Linked DNA regions of Schizosaccharomyces pombe. Changing the gene in region 1 together with any one later gene gives a genetic interaction. Each region holds a gene or a part of one and is shown in the gene's direction. Other genes may lie near its edges. The genes, in order: SPOM_SPAC1B3.02C, cit1, SPOM_SPAC11D3.16C and sym1.

What was found.
Region 2: mutations in SPOM_SPAC1B3.02C (region 1) and cit1 together harm fitness less than expected from each alone (positive genetic interaction), as found in Schizosaccharomyces pombe (one large-scale study listed by BioGRID).
Region 3: mutations in SPOM_SPAC1B3.02C (region 1) and SPOM_SPAC11D3.16C together harm fitness less than expected from each alone (positive genetic interaction), as found in Schizosaccharomyces pombe (one large-scale study listed by BioGRID).
Region 4: mutations in SPOM_SPAC1B3.02C (region 1) and sym1 together harm fitness less than expected from each alone (positive genetic interaction), as found in Schizosaccharomyces pombe (one large-scale study listed by BioGRID).

The regions. Positions count from the first base shown.
Region 1 is NC_003424.3:4,927,625-4,931,270, reverse strand, and holds SPOM_SPAC1B3.02C (Elf1 family transcription elongation factor), read left to right. Parts: upstream 1-1,725; 5' UTR 1,726-1,754; coding exon 1,755-1,820; intron 1,821-1,861; coding exon 1,862-1,908; intron 1,909-1,951; coding exon 1,952-2,022; intron 2,023-2,170; coding exon 2,171-2,310; 3' UTR 2,311-3,099; downstream 3,100-3,646. Other genes in the region: cyclophilin family peptidyl-prolyl cis-trans isomerase Wis2, read left to right, coding at 256-1,326; SPOM_SPAC1B3.01C (uracil phosphoribosyltransferase), read left to right, coding at 3,353-3,451.
Region 2 is NC_003424.3:2,325,930-2,330,823, forward strand, and holds cit1 (citrate synthase Cit1), read left to right. Parts: upstream 1-1,898; 5' UTR 1,899-1,931; coding exon 1,932-1,933; intron 1,934-2,717; coding exon 2,718-4,167; 3' UTR 4,168-4,360; downstream 4,361-4,894. Other genes in the region: SPOM_SPAC6C3.03C (uncharacterized protein), read right to left, coding at 403-705.
Region 3 is NC_003424.3:139,855-143,264, reverse strand, and holds SPOM_SPAC11D3.16C (uncharacterized protein), read left to right. Parts: upstream 1-1,738; 5' UTR 1,739-2,064; coding exon 2,065-2,460; 3' UTR 2,461-2,884; downstream 2,885-3,410. Other genes in the region: SPOM_SPAC11D3.17 (DNA-binding transcription factor, zf-fungal binuclear cluster type), read right to left, coding at 1-590; SPOM_SPAC11D3.15 (ATP-hydrolizing 5-oxoprolinase), read right to left, coding at 2,981-3,410.
Region 4 is NC_003424.3:2,278,492-2,282,414, forward strand, and holds sym1 (PMP22 family protein 2), read left to right. Parts: upstream 1-1,845; 5' UTR 1,846-1,931; coding exon 1,932-1,951; intron 1,952-2,000; coding exon 2,001-2,275; intron 2,276-2,368; coding exon 2,369-2,391; intron 2,392-2,500; coding exon 2,501-2,629; intron 2,630-2,676; coding exon 2,677-2,748; intron 2,749-2,816; coding exon 2,817-2,963; 3' UTR 2,964-3,356; downstream 3,357-3,923. Other genes in the region: retromer complex arrestin related endocytic adaptor ubunit Vps26, read right to left, coding at 1-503, 600-743; ifa38 (ketoreductase), read left to right, coding at 3,739-3,751, 3,812-3,923.

The DNA.
Region 1 (3,646 bases):
TCTTCTGCTAGCATTTTTTTAATACAGTATGTTTCTAGAAGTTTCGTAGAAAATCTCTTCGCAGTAGGTTGCAAATATAAATCACCACCTTTTTAATAACTAAAACTAAATAGTTTGCACAGATCTGTATATTTCGTCTGCGTAAAATCGCTATTCATTCTTCTTCTTAAAGCAACTTTGTGGTGTGAATACACTGAGGAGACTGGCAGTGAAATATCATTACTTAAAAACGATCATTGTTTTTTTTTGCACGAAATGAGTACTTACGCCTATTTTAAAATTAGCATTGATGGTAAAATTCAACCAACAATCTACTTTGAACTTTTCGACAACGTAGTTCCCAAAACTGTCAAAAACTTTGCTTCGTTGTGTAATGGGTTTGAGAAGGATGGCCGTTGTTTAACCTACAAAGGTTCAAGGTTCCATCGAGTAATTAAGAACTTTATGCTTCAAGGTGGTGACTTTACTCGTGGTAATGGAACGGGTGGAGAAAGCATCTACGGCGAGAAGTTTGAGGACGAGAACTTTGAGCTCAAGCATGATAAGCCTTTCTTGCTTTCCATGGCCAATGCCGGCCCTAATACCAATGGATCTCAGTTCTTCATTACTACTGTTCCCACCCCTCATTTGGATGGAAAGCATGTTGTTTTTGGCAAGGTAATTCAAGGAAAATCTACTGTTCGTACCATTGAAAATTTGGAGACCAAAAATGACGATCCGGTTGTACCTGTTGTTATTGAAGAATGTGGAACTTGCACAAAGGATCAGATTGAGGCACCAAAGCCAGACGTTACTGGTGATTCTCTGGAAGAATTTCCTGATGATTACGAGGGTGATAAGTCCGAGACTGCCATTTTCAAAATTGCTAGCGACTTAAAGGGAATTGCTAACAAGCAATTTGCTCAGCAAAATTTGGATACAGCCGTTGCCAAATGGCAAAAAGCTTTGCGCTACCTAATGGAATACCCTGTTCCCAACGATGACTCTAAGGAATCCCCTGATTTCTGGAAAGAGTATAATGCTTTACGATACAGCATATACGCAAACCTTGCCCTTGTAGCTTTGAAGCAGAACAAACCTCAGGAAGCTATTCGAAACGCCAACATTGTAATTGAGGCCAGTAACTCTACTGAGTTAGAGAAACAGAAAGCATACTATCGTTTGGGTTGTGCTCAAGGTCTCTTGAAGAATTTTGAAGAATCAGAGAAAGCACTTGCTAAGGCTGGTAACGATCCTGCAATTTCAAAGAAGCTTGCAGAAATTCGTCAAAAGAAAAAAGATTATAAGAAGCGCCAACAAAAGGCCTATGCTAAGATGTTTCAGTAATTCCAAATTAATCGGCGTCACGTGAATGCTGAGAAGTCAATTATGTTTTACGTTAATTTCTAGTTAGTCAATGAGAGTTTTATCGCATTTACAAAATAACCATAGAAGGTCAACTACGTTGCGAGAAAGAGTGCAAGATTTACTTATGGAGGATCTGGCTTCGTTTGTAAGACTGGTATGCCTACGTTTGCGTTTCATACAGCAAAGTATCATCATGAATAGAAAGAACTCTAGAAACAAATGTGCATCAGTAAACTCAATAAGAATATCATATTTAAACATTTAATTCATTAAAATTAAATAAGACCGTCTCTTACCAAGTGTCGAAATTACATGAGTTTCCGCATTACCCTTCCTAAGGATGAGAGTGCTAATGTGAACCCGCTAATACGAATCTGCAGTTTGCAAAACGTAAACAGATTCTGCAAATGGGTAAAAGAAAAGCAAAAGCAAAAGTGAAACCCAAAAGAAGGGCACCCCCATTAGATACGACTGTGAGTTATAGTTTAATTACGAAATTTACTAACTTTACTAGTTTACGTGCCTATTTTGCAACCACGAAAAAAGTGTGAGCTGTAGTCTGTATGCTTATTAACTACTTTCATTTTTTTTAACACTTTGATAGTGATAAACAATCAGGAGTTGGAAATCTACACTGCAAAATTTGTGGTCAGAGTCATCAATGTCTAATTACAGGTATGAAAGAGGTGTTTTATTTCAATAGCGGCACGTAAATTATTACGATTAATATTGCGGTTAATTTCTTTTATATCGTCTCTTTATCTTCTTATTTCTTGTTCTTTTATGAAATTTTCTTGTACACTTATTTACTAACATTATCAAGCTCTTTCGGCACCCATCGACGTATACAGCGACTGGATTGATGCTTGTGATGCTGTTGCAAATCAAGCTAAAGAGGTTGATAATATAAATGATCAAGAAGCCTATTCCCCTGAAGCAGCTTATGAGGAAGAAAAGGAATGATTTTTTGCTATTGGCCTAACTTGCAAAAGGAAGATTCTTTTCAGAGCTTAAATGTTGAAAGTTTCCGTTCATTTATGGTGATCTTATTTTCGTTGATGCTCAGTCGTTTCAATTAAGAGATTTCTCTGAAGCGATAAGAAGGTATTAACTACATTGCAATGAACAAGACGCTGTATTTGGCAAAACCGGACGAGCTTAGTGTATACAAATCTAGGCATGCTCTTGTATATATTTGTCCTTTTTAAAGACGTCGAACATACGAATTTCGAGATTCCATCTGATGAACCGACAATTGGACGATAGTGTTAAGCTTATTTGTTGGTATTCGGATGTACCATCAATATGGGTGTGATATCTTGCTCATTGGCAAGATAGCCATTTCATTGCTTTGTTTTTGGTTTGGTAGAATCGCTGTTCACTATGACAGGCTAAGAATTACGAGTGCCTAGAGTGTGGTTGACTTCGACCTTGTACTTATTGTATTCTCCATGTACAAAAAATGTCTAGAATGAAAGAGATATGAAAATATGTTCATGTGTTCTTACTGCATTTGATTTAAAAATCCTTACAATACAACTCATTTCTTGGTTTCTTGTGAATACAGTTGGATGAATTGAGAATTACAAGTAAAAAACATTGAAATCCAATTAAGATTGTAAGCTGCATGGAGTCCAATTGTATGAATGTGTGCTTCAAAAATTTGTACTGTCTTTCTCATTCTTAAATATAAGCAGTAATTCATTTAAAAACATCAACTTGCCCTAAAATATGTTCAATAGTTAATTGATATTCTTATTTAATTTTGCCAAGCCTGCTAGAGTAGAAATCTTTTACTGCGCTAAGTAACGCATTAATCATAATTATGTTATTATGAAATGATGTTGTAAATCTTTATTTATGTTTAACGAAATATACTAAGGTTGATAAAACTCATTTTGCTATTGATAGCTTAAAAGCAAATGTGTTATTGTGCTTTTACTTTTTACCATTTACTTGGTAAACAACTTGATAGGTAGATATTTAAGCATACATCGTCAAAAAGATGTCGCTGGTACCTGAGCATGGAAATGTGTACGTACTAAATCAGACAAATCAATTAAAAGGGTTGTTTACCATCATTCGTGATAAAACGAAACCTCGTGTATGCGCGTTCAGTTTACAACAGATTACTGAGTCAAGGTCTAAGAACTAATTGAAATGAATGTGTTAATATGTCCAAGAAATTTTAGCTTTTTCCTCTATTAATGGGGAGATAAATGTTTATCAGTGGATGATAGGAAGCATTCATTATCAGTTAGTACATTCGACAACTTCTCGTGTATTCTTTGTTGAATCT
Region 2 (4,894 bases), 2.6 Mb from region 1:
CCAGGTTCCACACTAGTGAAATAGCAAGATTGTGAAAAATCAGCTTATATAAATGTTTCAGTTGATTTCAAATGATGTTACTCTTAACTCGTTTTAAATAAATGGGTGTATGTGAAATAACGAAGCAATTTGGGAATGCAAAATCTAATATGTACGTATTAGTTGTTGATGGATCTCTTTATATTTTTATATGGAAACACTAGTAGTCATGGTTTTAATAGAAAAGCAGTCTAGAGAGATATGTTGGAATTCGATACTTTGCATCAAAGTGTTCTATTTATTTATTTATGTTGCGTCTGTCAAGTCAAAGCACTTGAAATGACTGTTGTTGTAAAAAAAAGGAATCCCGAAGAAAAATTATATGTTTTTGAATTAATTCATTTCTATATTTATTTTTAAGAGCTATTTTTGAGTTTTGAATCCTCTAGCCAAAAAGTAGTAACTACAGTCTACACGCTCTCTTACCTTGGCCGACGGGGTATGTACAATACCAACTCGAACGGTTCCCCACATGGTTCTCCAATGTGGGATACTTGGAATGGTATTCAGTAACGATCTAAAAGTCGCAATTCTAATATTCCACCCCCACTTTGTCTCATTGGGGTCCAAGTTTTTGGATGGGAATAAAAAGCGAAACGAGCTGTAACGCTTAGCGTTAGTGAAAATAGCGATTACCACTAGCAATCCTAAGAAAAAAACATCCATCTAAACTTCGTCAATAGCAATGGTTGAGCAGTTAGAAAAAGTTATCAAAAACTTTCTTACCTATAAAAATTATTTTCTTGTCGCTTGTCAACATCTCTATTCATTTATTCACTCCCGATACATGCATATGCATTGCCGTAACGCACATGCAAGAGATGAAGCTACTTCAGTCAACGTTCATTGAGTAAATATTTGCATAGCTAAGCAATTCTTTTCTGTATCTATTGTAGTACTATGTTTGACTGAGAAATCCGCTACCGCGGAAGTTCTCCTAAATTTTGATCTTTACTGATATCATTAGCTCGATCGATCGGAGCAACTACCCTTTTTTACCTGATCAAGACAAGCAAATTCTCGAAATTCGGCTTGTTATCTATTTAAAATTTCAAAAAAAAAAAAAAAAAAGAAAAAAAACTTATGAGAGATAAAATTTGTAGCACAAAGTATGGTAACCAAGAACCAAAGATGCGTTTATTGATAGTAACAGTAAATAGCACTTCACTTGCAAGGCCAACAATACAAGACACTATGGTAATGTAGATCAGTACGTTTTCAAAGCATAAAATGTACAAATTGTTTGTTGGTAGGAAATCAATACTTATTCATACCCATCTCGTTTCTCTCATTGTTGAAAGGATATAATATCAATCTATGTAGTCTAATTTGTATCATTCAACAATTATGGAAACATCGGATACGCCTCTTTTCAAATTTTCTTACTCCTTAATTTATTTTTGATCAAAGTACATCTAAATAATAAAATATTATTTTTTCCTGCGACGATGAACCGGGTTTCCATGCAAGGTTGCCTGTCCCAATCATAAAAGTGAGATTTGACTTTTCAACGGGTTTGTAAGTTGTAGGCTAAAGTTCATTAGTAAATATGTGATAAATAAGGCTTTCTTTCTTCATTACAATTTTTTCTTACTGTTTGGTGGATTTCGGCTTTGTTGCCCAAGTCATTCTCCACAAACCTTCTTCACTTTACTGAATTTTAAGTGGTTTTGTATTTCGTATTCACCGACATCAGAAGCGAGTCTATATGCTAAGGTTGTTCCTCTCCTCGGTTTTGGCTAGTTGTTGAATGGACAGAATCATGGGGCACTGACGTCGCACCCTCCCCTCCGTTCATGCTAATGGTACTCAGGTTTACCGAATAAATAGTCCCCCATCCCAGCAATTATTCTTTCCTTAGCCAATATCGGTGCATTGTAATACCCTTTTTCATGTAAGTGCAAGCCTAAAGGTGTTTGAGATTTGATCTTGTCGAGAGGCAGTAGGATATTCTCTAGTGCATAGTTTAGAAAATCCTCCTTTGTGATAATTTTGATTTTGCGTTTCGTTGGCCTTTTGGTCTTACGAAATGTCGGTTTTCTTGAAAGAAAGTCTTATATTTTTGGTTGGAAATATAGTTTACTCGATGCTCTAATTCATGTCTGCCAATGCTAGGACTTTTTTCATCTGCGCTTATCTTGGGGTCAATCCTATACATAGCGTATGCAAATTTTCACTCAAAATGGGTTCATTTCTCTTACTTTGAAGAGGATAGAAAAGGTCTTCAAAAGCTCAATTTTTTTTTCTATTTAAAATTAGATGCCGTTATTGATAATGACTACGCTACTAAATTTGTGGTTCCTGTCTATATCTATGACCCATCTGAGTGTGCTCAGATTAAGCACACTAGTTGAATTGAAAATTAATTATTGATTTTTGATAACAAACCCCGTCTTTAGCTTGTTTGAAATTAAAGTGACTTTTCTCATTGGCGATTATTGATAGTCAATTTTTTTTCTATTTTTCACGATAGTTCTCTTAGATATTATCATTAACCGACTTTCTATTCTTATTGCTTATTTCTTTTTTTCTGTTTGTTAAATTTGCGAATCGGCCTTCACTATCTCCTTGATCTGATATCCTTCGTTCTCTCATATTATTACAAAGGAGCTTTTCCCGCATTTCACGCCTTCTTTTATTTCCCAAGTTTTACTTTTTACTAACTTTTAAATTATTAGGATGATTATATTAAACGCACCTCGTTTTATGACAAACACAAGATTAGCTAGTACTCGACGACTTGCTTCGTCGTTACTTTCTCAAGCGTCGCTTCGTTCCCGTCAATTAAACCCCCTTTTCACATCTTCTTACTCAACTCGTTCCTCTTCCTTAAAGGATCGGTTAGCTGAGCTTATTCCTGAAAAACAAGCAGAAATCAAAAAATTTCGCGCAGAACATGGCCAAGATGTCATTGGTGAGGTAACTATCAATCAAATGTATGGTGGTGCTCGTGGGGTTCGTTCTTTAATATGGGAAGGCTCTGTTTTAGACCCTAACGAGGGTATCCGATTCCGTGGTTATACTATCCCGGAATGCCAAAAATTACTTCCTTCTTCTCCCAACGGAAAACAGCCTCTTCCTGAATCTTTGTTCTGGCTTTTAGTTACCGGGGAAATTCCTACTCTGAGTCAAGTGCAGGCGCTTTCCGCTGACTGGGCCGCCCGTTCTCAGTTACCCAAATTTGTTGAAGAACTCATTGACCGTTGCCCTCCTACCCTTCATCCAATGGCCCAATTCTCTCTCGCTGTTACTGCACTTGAGCACGATTCTGCATTTGCTAAAGCATATGAGCGTGGAATGAACAAGCATGATTATTGGAAGTATGAATATGAAGACTGCATGGATTTGATTGCCAAGACCGTTCCAATTGCCGGTCGTATCTACCGCAATTTGTACCGTGATGGTGTTGTTGCTCCTATTCAAATGGATAAGGACCATTCGTACAATTTTGCTAATGTTCTGGGCTTTGCTAACAATGAGGAATTTGTGGAGCTTATGCGTCTTTATTTGACCATCCATGCTGACCACGAAGGTGGTAATGTATCTGCTCACACCGGTCATTTGGTAGGTTCTGCTCTTTCTTCACCCTTTTTGTCGATGGCTGCCTCCTTAAATGGACTTGCTGGTCCCCTTCATGGTCTTGCCAACCAAGAAGTTTTGAACTTTTTGATTACAATGAAGAAAGAAATCGGTGATGATTTATCTGAAGAAACAATCAAGTCTTATCTCTGGAAGCTTTTGAATTCTGGTCGTGTTGTTCCTGGTTATGGTCATGCCGTACTTCGTAAGACAGATCCTCGCTATACGGCTCAGCGTGAATTTGCACTTGAGCATCTTCCTAAAGATCCCATGTTTCAACTTGTAAGCCGTCTGTATGAAATAGTTCCAGGTGTTCTTACAGAGCATGGAAAAACCAAAAATCCATATCCCAACGTTGACTCACATTCTGGTGTTCTTTTGCAATATTATGGCTTGAAAGAACAAAGCTTCTACACCGTTTTGTTCGGTGTTTCTCGAACACTCGGTGTTGCCTCTCAACTCATCTGGGATCGAGCTTTGGGACTACCTATTGAGCGTCCTAAGTCTTTCTCTACTGAAGCATTAAAGAAGATGGTTGAAACGAAATGATTATCTTATTTCTTACAATGAAAATTATGTCGGCGCTTTTTTTTTCATTCATTATTTGTATAAATGTTTTATTTCCTACTTAGTTTTTACTGTGTTGGTGTTGTCAATTCCCGTTGCATTTAAAAATTGAATATCCGCAAATATATCAGCAAACACAATAATATTAATAATAAATTTCAAAATTGGTATAGCAAACAATGAATTTACTTAACTCTGTTGTATTCATGGCTTTAAAAAGTCTAACGTATAAGTTTTCAGTAAGCAAATTGTTATTTCAAAAGGCCTTCTCATCATCTGGTAACTTTCTATATATTTTAGCTAAATTATTTAATTTGGTATGAATGTAAAACACGCATAGTCAGACGAAAGCAATCCAATTAGGCTTTCGTCCCGGCTTAATTGGTGTCTAATATCTTTTTCTGCATATACACAGCGTACCAAAAGTCACTGTTAGCACTCCTTTTAGTTGCACGTGGATTCACAAGACCAAAGAACTTTGATTCACCGAGACTCAAATTCCAAAGCCTCCAATCGTGCTATGTATGTGGCATAGAAAAAGATAAAATTTCTAAATGGAAGAGATATATATATGAATAAAAATTCCTGAACTACCGTATTTCACTAGTTTTCATTAGGCTGGTTTAAGATAGTTTTCTAATTGCTTCGCAATTTGTTTCAATTTTACGAATTGCTGTATTAAGCAGAATATAATTAGTAAAAAATATGA
Region 3 (3,410 bases), 4.8 Mb from region 1:
GCCATAGAAAAATCACTTTCTATACCAGTACACAAGCATGCAATCACAACTAGAGAGCGAAGAAATGAAGCAGCAACATTCTCGGAATTAAACGATGCTTGATGAATAAAAGGGAAAACAGGATGAAACCACTCAAAGTAACCTTCGATATAATGTTCTAAGAAATCCGAAGGAATCAAAGGAAGAATGGTAAAATAAGGACGCAAACTTGGATGATAAGCTTTTGGCACATCTATTGCATCGAAAGAAGGTAAAACAATTTTCATATTATCTTCTTGCTGTGATGCGGCAGCCTTTACGTCCAGCACATCTTTCGAGCCTTCTTCGATAACAGACTTATCATTATGGAATCGCTGTATGTGGCGTTTGAGTAAATCTTTTCTTTTGCATTTGATCTCACAATAGGGACAAGGTATAGGTTCAGCCTTACTATGACAAGCCTTATGTCGAGTTAGATTTTCATGCCTCGTAAAACGCTTGGCGCACTGGTCGCAAGGAAAGACGCGCTTAGAATCAATCAATGAAGGTTCAGTCAACTTCCTCTTAGCAGACAAAACATTCGTTGAATTTTCAGAAACATGATCTACCATATTTGTGGAGAAATCAATACAAAACTTTCCCAAAGAAAATCCAACGCATAAATAAGTATAAAATTTTAAAAAGTGTTAACCAAAAACGGGTATAAACAAACAATAAATATTAAAGAGGAAGGGAAACACTGTCAGACAACAGATTTCCTATGCAAAAACTATGGTAGGTGGCTCAATTGCAAAATGTTAGATAAATTTTGACGCAACAATTAATGAACACCTTTTTACACAACAGATTTATACTTTTAAGCTTAATACCATCAGCAATAGACTATTTCCAAATGTTTTTTCGTATGGTAAAGGACAAGTAAGCATTATGAATAATTGTCGCGATTATCTCTCTTTAACCCTAAACAGATGCTTCTGATAAACCATGTCTATCTTGCGCTTAGCGAATTTGTCAAGCAGATAAACTAGCGCAAATTAAGTCATTCGTTGCTATTTCAATAAATAACTCATAATTCAACTTTTCATATATGCAACTACTTCTTTTATTGTGCCTAATAATTACTTGCAATTGAAATTGTATACCGAGAATTCTGTAGTAAGTAAGTATATTCTAACGCCAAGGGTATGCAAAACACTTCATTCTCCGCGGATGTACGTGCATAAGTATATTATCAAACTTTCAATAATATCATATTCTCGACATTCCTTCATTCTCTATATTATATTTTCAACTCCATAAACGCTTTCAGACAGTGAGATATATGAAGACATATATCTTCGTCGAATTATCAAGTTAGTCTCGGCTAGCATGCGTTTAGTACCTATCTAATCGAGGCTGTCTAAAATTTATCTAGACTGGAAATTCGGTGAAAAAAAATTTCAGTATCTACTGTGGCTGAAAGATAATTAGGAAGTAGATGAAGTTAAACATTCAAAAATTAGAGATATAAAAGTTCTTCCATTTTGTTGACTTGTTTCATTTAGTTTTACAGCTTTTATTCTCTTGCATTTTTTAACAACGCGTAAAACTGGTTTAACGAATCCGAATACCCATTTCTATCATTTGTGAGATCGATATTCACTGTTATCTAGCAAATAAAAAAGCTTGCAATTCCTACGTCTTCAGGATAAGGAACTAGATTGTATCAAACCAGCTGATTTTAGGTTCTACAGATAGGTGTTAGCAACTTGAAATCTTTATTCCTTTACACTTACTACAGGTTTTGATATAAGTTCAAGACTTAGTAATTACCTCCTTCATTTTTCTTTTCTGGCTCTTCGCGTGAGAAAACCGATTGGAACCAACGTCTCAAAGTCATTTTATCCTGCTTTCATTGTTGCTTTTAAGTGGCAAATAGCTATTAATCCTTTCAATATCTGTACTGCAATCGATCGTTCATAATTCGATCACTTATTTTTTTTCTCTGGATTATCTTGTCTTTTACGATAATTTCCTATTCCGAAACATTAATATATATAGTTAGAATCTTTCGAAGGAACCAACTTTAATCCAAATAACGCTTTTATGACTACTTTGAAGGTTGACGAGGATTTGGAATGTGCGCTCATGGAGCAATTCATCGAGGCTCTTCACCAAAGGTGTACTGATATTCCACGCACTCAGTTGTGTGTGCTTGCGATTAGCTTTAATCGCTTCATTCTCCATAAGTCTCCCGACATTTTCACATATATTCAATACTACCAACAAAAGCTGAATTCATATGGGTTTCCACTTCCACCTGTAGTTTTGAAATCGTTACAAATGCCTTTAACGTCTCCGGAACCCGATGCTGATGAAAGGTTTAGAGACGGTGATACTGAGTTTGATACTGCCGGTGTTACTGCTTCTTCTTGCTTTCCTGTGGATGTTAAATCTCCATCTGTGAGAGCTTTCGGAAATGTAACATTCCAATCAGATTGAATTGCTGAAATGAAAGGTTTCTCTTACGTTCCAGTTCGCTTTCTTTTAAGTGATTGCCTTCGTAGGATTGCTTCTTTTTTTTTCGAGCGCAGATGATTTTACCCTTTTTTTCCCAACTTTACTCTTTTTTGTTAGAGTTGTTGAAAGCTCATCCTATTCCTCGCATGCATCCTAATTTTTATGTTCTTAATGCTTTAGCAGTCCATTCCAGTTTTTTTTTTCCTATTACATTAAATATTTACTCATTTATTTTTATATTTCACTATTTCACAAATTTTGGAAACGCGTTCATATATCCTATCTTAATCTATACGGCTTTTTAATTACAATTATATACATTTTCTACAAATGATTTAGTATTCAAGAATATTATATATTATTGAACTTTATCCTGTTGTTGTCACCAACACTTGTAGTATATTCGACAACTATATACAAATATTTTTAAAAACTTTGTTATTAGTAAGAAATTAAGATGTAAAAGACAAACTATTTATATTACCATTAATAAATTATCTAACTAATTCGTGTGCTGTATTTCCTGTAATTGTGAGATGGTGCCATTAGCCCTGAAATGCTGGACACCATTAGCTTTCTTGACAGTATCTACTCGTTCAGAAGGGGGTCCATATCCACCACCGCCAGGTGTCATAATAACAATATGGTCACCAGCTTGCATATGGCATGTGTTTTTACCGCCAACGTTGATTTGTCGAACTCGTTGCTCTCCTGAAGGTAAGATATCCTTTCGAATCCAAATGTTTTTACCGCATTCGGCATCTTTACCTCCTTTCATACCGTATGGATGATAGGCACGACGCTCTGAAAGTATGGAAAGGGTAACTGGAATTCTGAATTCAATATCGCGAATAACACCATCACCACCTTTGTACTTTCCTGCGCCGCCAGAATTTTCACGAATGATAAACTTTCTCAAAATGACAGGGTAT
Region 4 (3,923 bases), 2.6 Mb from region 1:
GATGTCCCGATCGTTTCACGCCGTATGATACTGACTTCCATCCGCTGAACCTTGATGCGTACAAGGATAAAGTAGATTTTCCCAATAATAACATCTTTTAAATGATATTTGTTTTTGCTGTATTCAAATTCTATGTGTAGGCATTCATCAATGCCCACATCCATTCTGATTAAGCTGTTTGTCTCTGGTTCATTCTCAAATCGATAGACCCACAGATCTTTTTCACGAATGACATCTTTCATCTTTCTGGAAACCGTAACGCGACATATATAGCGGAGTTTAACGTTTTTGCCAATATAGGATTCATAAGGTTTATCAACATGCTTGAACTCAAATTCAAACATTTGGGCATGCCTCATTTCCCCAGGAGAAGCTAACTCCTGTACGCTTCTAGTAAATTCATGAATATTTCCTTTGTCGTAAGTATTTTCGATCTGTCCAATAAACTCAATTTTCACACCATCGTGGTCCAACTTGCGGCCATCTTTTAAACGAATCATCACCTATACCGTCGTTAGTCGTACAAACATATAAAAATCCAAGCTGTTGCAACAGATTATTTATTTCAAAATACACTGAACGTGCACGTTTGCACTTACTGTTCCTTTCACAGTCTCATCACTTTCGTAAATTGGCGCCTTGTCTTTTCGGCCCTGTTCAAACTCATAGTCAACGAACGTTCGTTCTTCTTCATTGTCCAAATGAAGATCAACGTCGATTGGACTTTTAAAGAAGTAATCCATTGTGAAAATTTAGAAAGTTGTTTGAAAAATGAGTTTGGAATTTTAGATATTTTCAATTGAAATAAGGAAAATAAGTTCAATTTCGTAATTTCTTTCTGTCTCTAAGGATGATAAATTAGCAATTGAATAAGAACTGATAATTGCAGCAAATTAATTTTTGGAGGCTAATATATCCCAATTTGTAAATTCATGGTGTAGGGTGATACTGTGAAGAGCTAGTAGCTTAATGCAATGGAACGCAACTTGAGTAATATGTGTTAAGTTTTTTAACGAAATGTTTTAGCGAGCTTGAGTTTATAGACGTAAACAAGTGAATTATTATTGTACTTAAAAAGTTATGTCTTAGTAGAACACGGTTGTTTCTTTAAAGAAATTTATATGTAAATTAATAAGCTCTTTCTCTGACTCTTATTGTGCCAAATGATGCTTTAAATTATTTTTGAACTTTATGAATTAAGAGCATACACATTTGACCATCTATTCATTACATTCAAAAATCGGATATCTTACTTTTATGAACTGTATGGTATTTTTTTTTTTTTTGTTTTAGAATACTTAATTCAAGTTATTAAAAATTCGCACTTAAATTCAGTTACTGTTTCACATGTAAAGCAAGTGAATTTAAAAGGAAGAAAAAAAATAAAAAGAATTTATTTAGTTGTATAACAATTTATATGGAATGCGTTTAGTCTAACGAATATCCATTATTTTTAGTTAATCGATTTGAAAGAGTAAGTAAATTGCTTAAAGCGCTGCAAGTGATTTTCATAAAAATATATCATTAAACAAAATCATAAAGTTAAAAGGTTGAATTTCTCAGGGTATTGTTGAAATTATGAAATAAACAATATCCCACAAGATAAACCAAATCTCATTCGATAGAAAAAAAATTTGATAAAATGAATAATTTGAGTATATTTGACACAGATTATTACAGCTTAGCGATTTGATCAAATAAAACAACAATAAAAGAATTAAACAAAGAAATAAAAGAATAAAGAAATAACGAAATTAATTAATTAAATATACAATTATTGTTATAATCTTTTCATTTTAATGATTTCTTTGCCTTATAACTATCGTCACCATCGGTTTTAACATTGCAAAGCAGCTCTTCAACGCTATATTGATATCACTCTCAATAACTTACTAGTGGTATTTCTTCTATTTCCTTTAAAGGTGTACGCGATGTTCATAGCGAAATCAATGTATGTTTGATTATTTCTGTGTATTTAAATAAATACTTACGATAATTAGAGTAATCGGATTATTAATATGTGTTTTGTTCTTCTTTTTCTTTGTGAGTCGCTTCAACGACAAATATGAATTGCAGCCTCTACTCACATTGGGATTACTAAACGCGTCTTTAACAGCTCTTTCTGACTTGTTAGCTCAGGCGTTGGACTCGTACAAACTGCTAAAGTTTCGCAATAAAAGAGACGTATCTCTCGAGAAATATGGGAATACAATCCTCTTACCAGCTAGTACTTCAAAGTTAGATGTCCATAGAACAATTCGTTATGCTGCCTATGGTACGTTAAAGGTTTGCATTACTTTGAAACCTTATAAAGTGAACCTTGTTATTTCTCCCTCTTTCTATGCAAGATACTAACATAATTGAACAGGTCTATGCCTTACTCCTATCCAAGTAAGAAAAACTACTCTTAATGATTAAATTCAGTATCAAAGTTCACAATGACTTTTGATACCAAGTTTGATTATGTGTACACCAATTTTTTATGCTAACGCGAATCTAGTTCCGATGGTTTGTTGCCTTATCCAATGTTATTCAAACTGAGAATCCTTTTATTGCCATAGTTTTGCGAGTGGCTTTAGATCAATTTATCTTTGCTCCATTAGGCATAGTGTTTTTCTTTTTATTCATGGTACTACTATTATCAACAAATAAAGCATCAGAATTAACAGTTTTTAGGGTATCACCGAATGCAAGTCTTATGAAAGGTTGAAAAGCTACTTCCGGAAACATTACTGGCCTACATTAAAAGTAAGGAATCTCTTTGACATTTGCACCAGCTGCCTTAAATTATTATAGTCATTTGCTAACATATTTAGGCTAATTATATACTTTGGCCGGCCGTACAGCTTTTCAATTTTACCTTCGTCCCTTTGGTCTTACAGGTGATTTTTGCCAACGCTGTTTCGATGGTTTGGACAGCTTACTTAAGTTTGAAAAATAGTTCCCCGAATGCAGACGTATGAGAAGGTAGGGAGCAATTCGGCTATTATTTTCTTCTATCGTATTTGCAAATTTATATTTCACATTCAACTTTGCAAATTTTCTTTACCTTTACTCAGTCGGGCTTACGACTTCATTTGAAGTTTATTCGTTTGTTAATATGTTCAAAATTTTATTCCAATTATCTTAATTCTCCCTTAAGGCTTGTTTTCGATCGGTATGCTCTTATGTTATTTAATAAACTTGGATTAATATATGGATCTTCCTATTATTTCATTTAGTTTCACTCGCTGCAAATTATGCAAATATCTTGCATATAGTTAGATTGTATTTAATGAAAAAAAATTGTTTTTTCATATCGACGCTGAGAGCTAATATCAATAGATCAGATTTTATCCAAATAATCTCGTTAATAGTATATTTAATATTACCGAATTCCAATTTTTTAAATCACTACTTTATAAACACCGTGTCAAATTTCACCTAGTTACTTTATTCTCATGGTAATTCACTGGTGGTGGGAGTTAGCCCTACAAGTTACAAATACGAAAGAGATGAAATTACAAAATCTGTATGTACTAATATCTTTAGAAGTAAATACCTCTTCAGCTACTCAACTGAGGTGTCTACAATCTCTTGAATTTATCAAAAGAAACAAAAAGTATCAAACTTCCTTTATCATCATTAATATCCTATAAGGAATTATAGCAAAGTTTCAGTATACACTTGTCGACGGATGCCATTTTATCTTAAGAGGCTAGCAATTTACGTAGAACATTACATTACTTCACTTGCAATATGGACGGAGAAGGTATATACACTAATATTTGTGTTTTAGGGTATAATATTTAGAATACTAATAGACTTTTAGTTCTTGCAAACAAATCTTGCTGTGGTGCAGTAGTAACTGCATTTTCAGTAATTGGTATTGTGTTTACAATCCTTAAATTTACATCTTTTGCCAGTTTCGTTTATAAGACGTT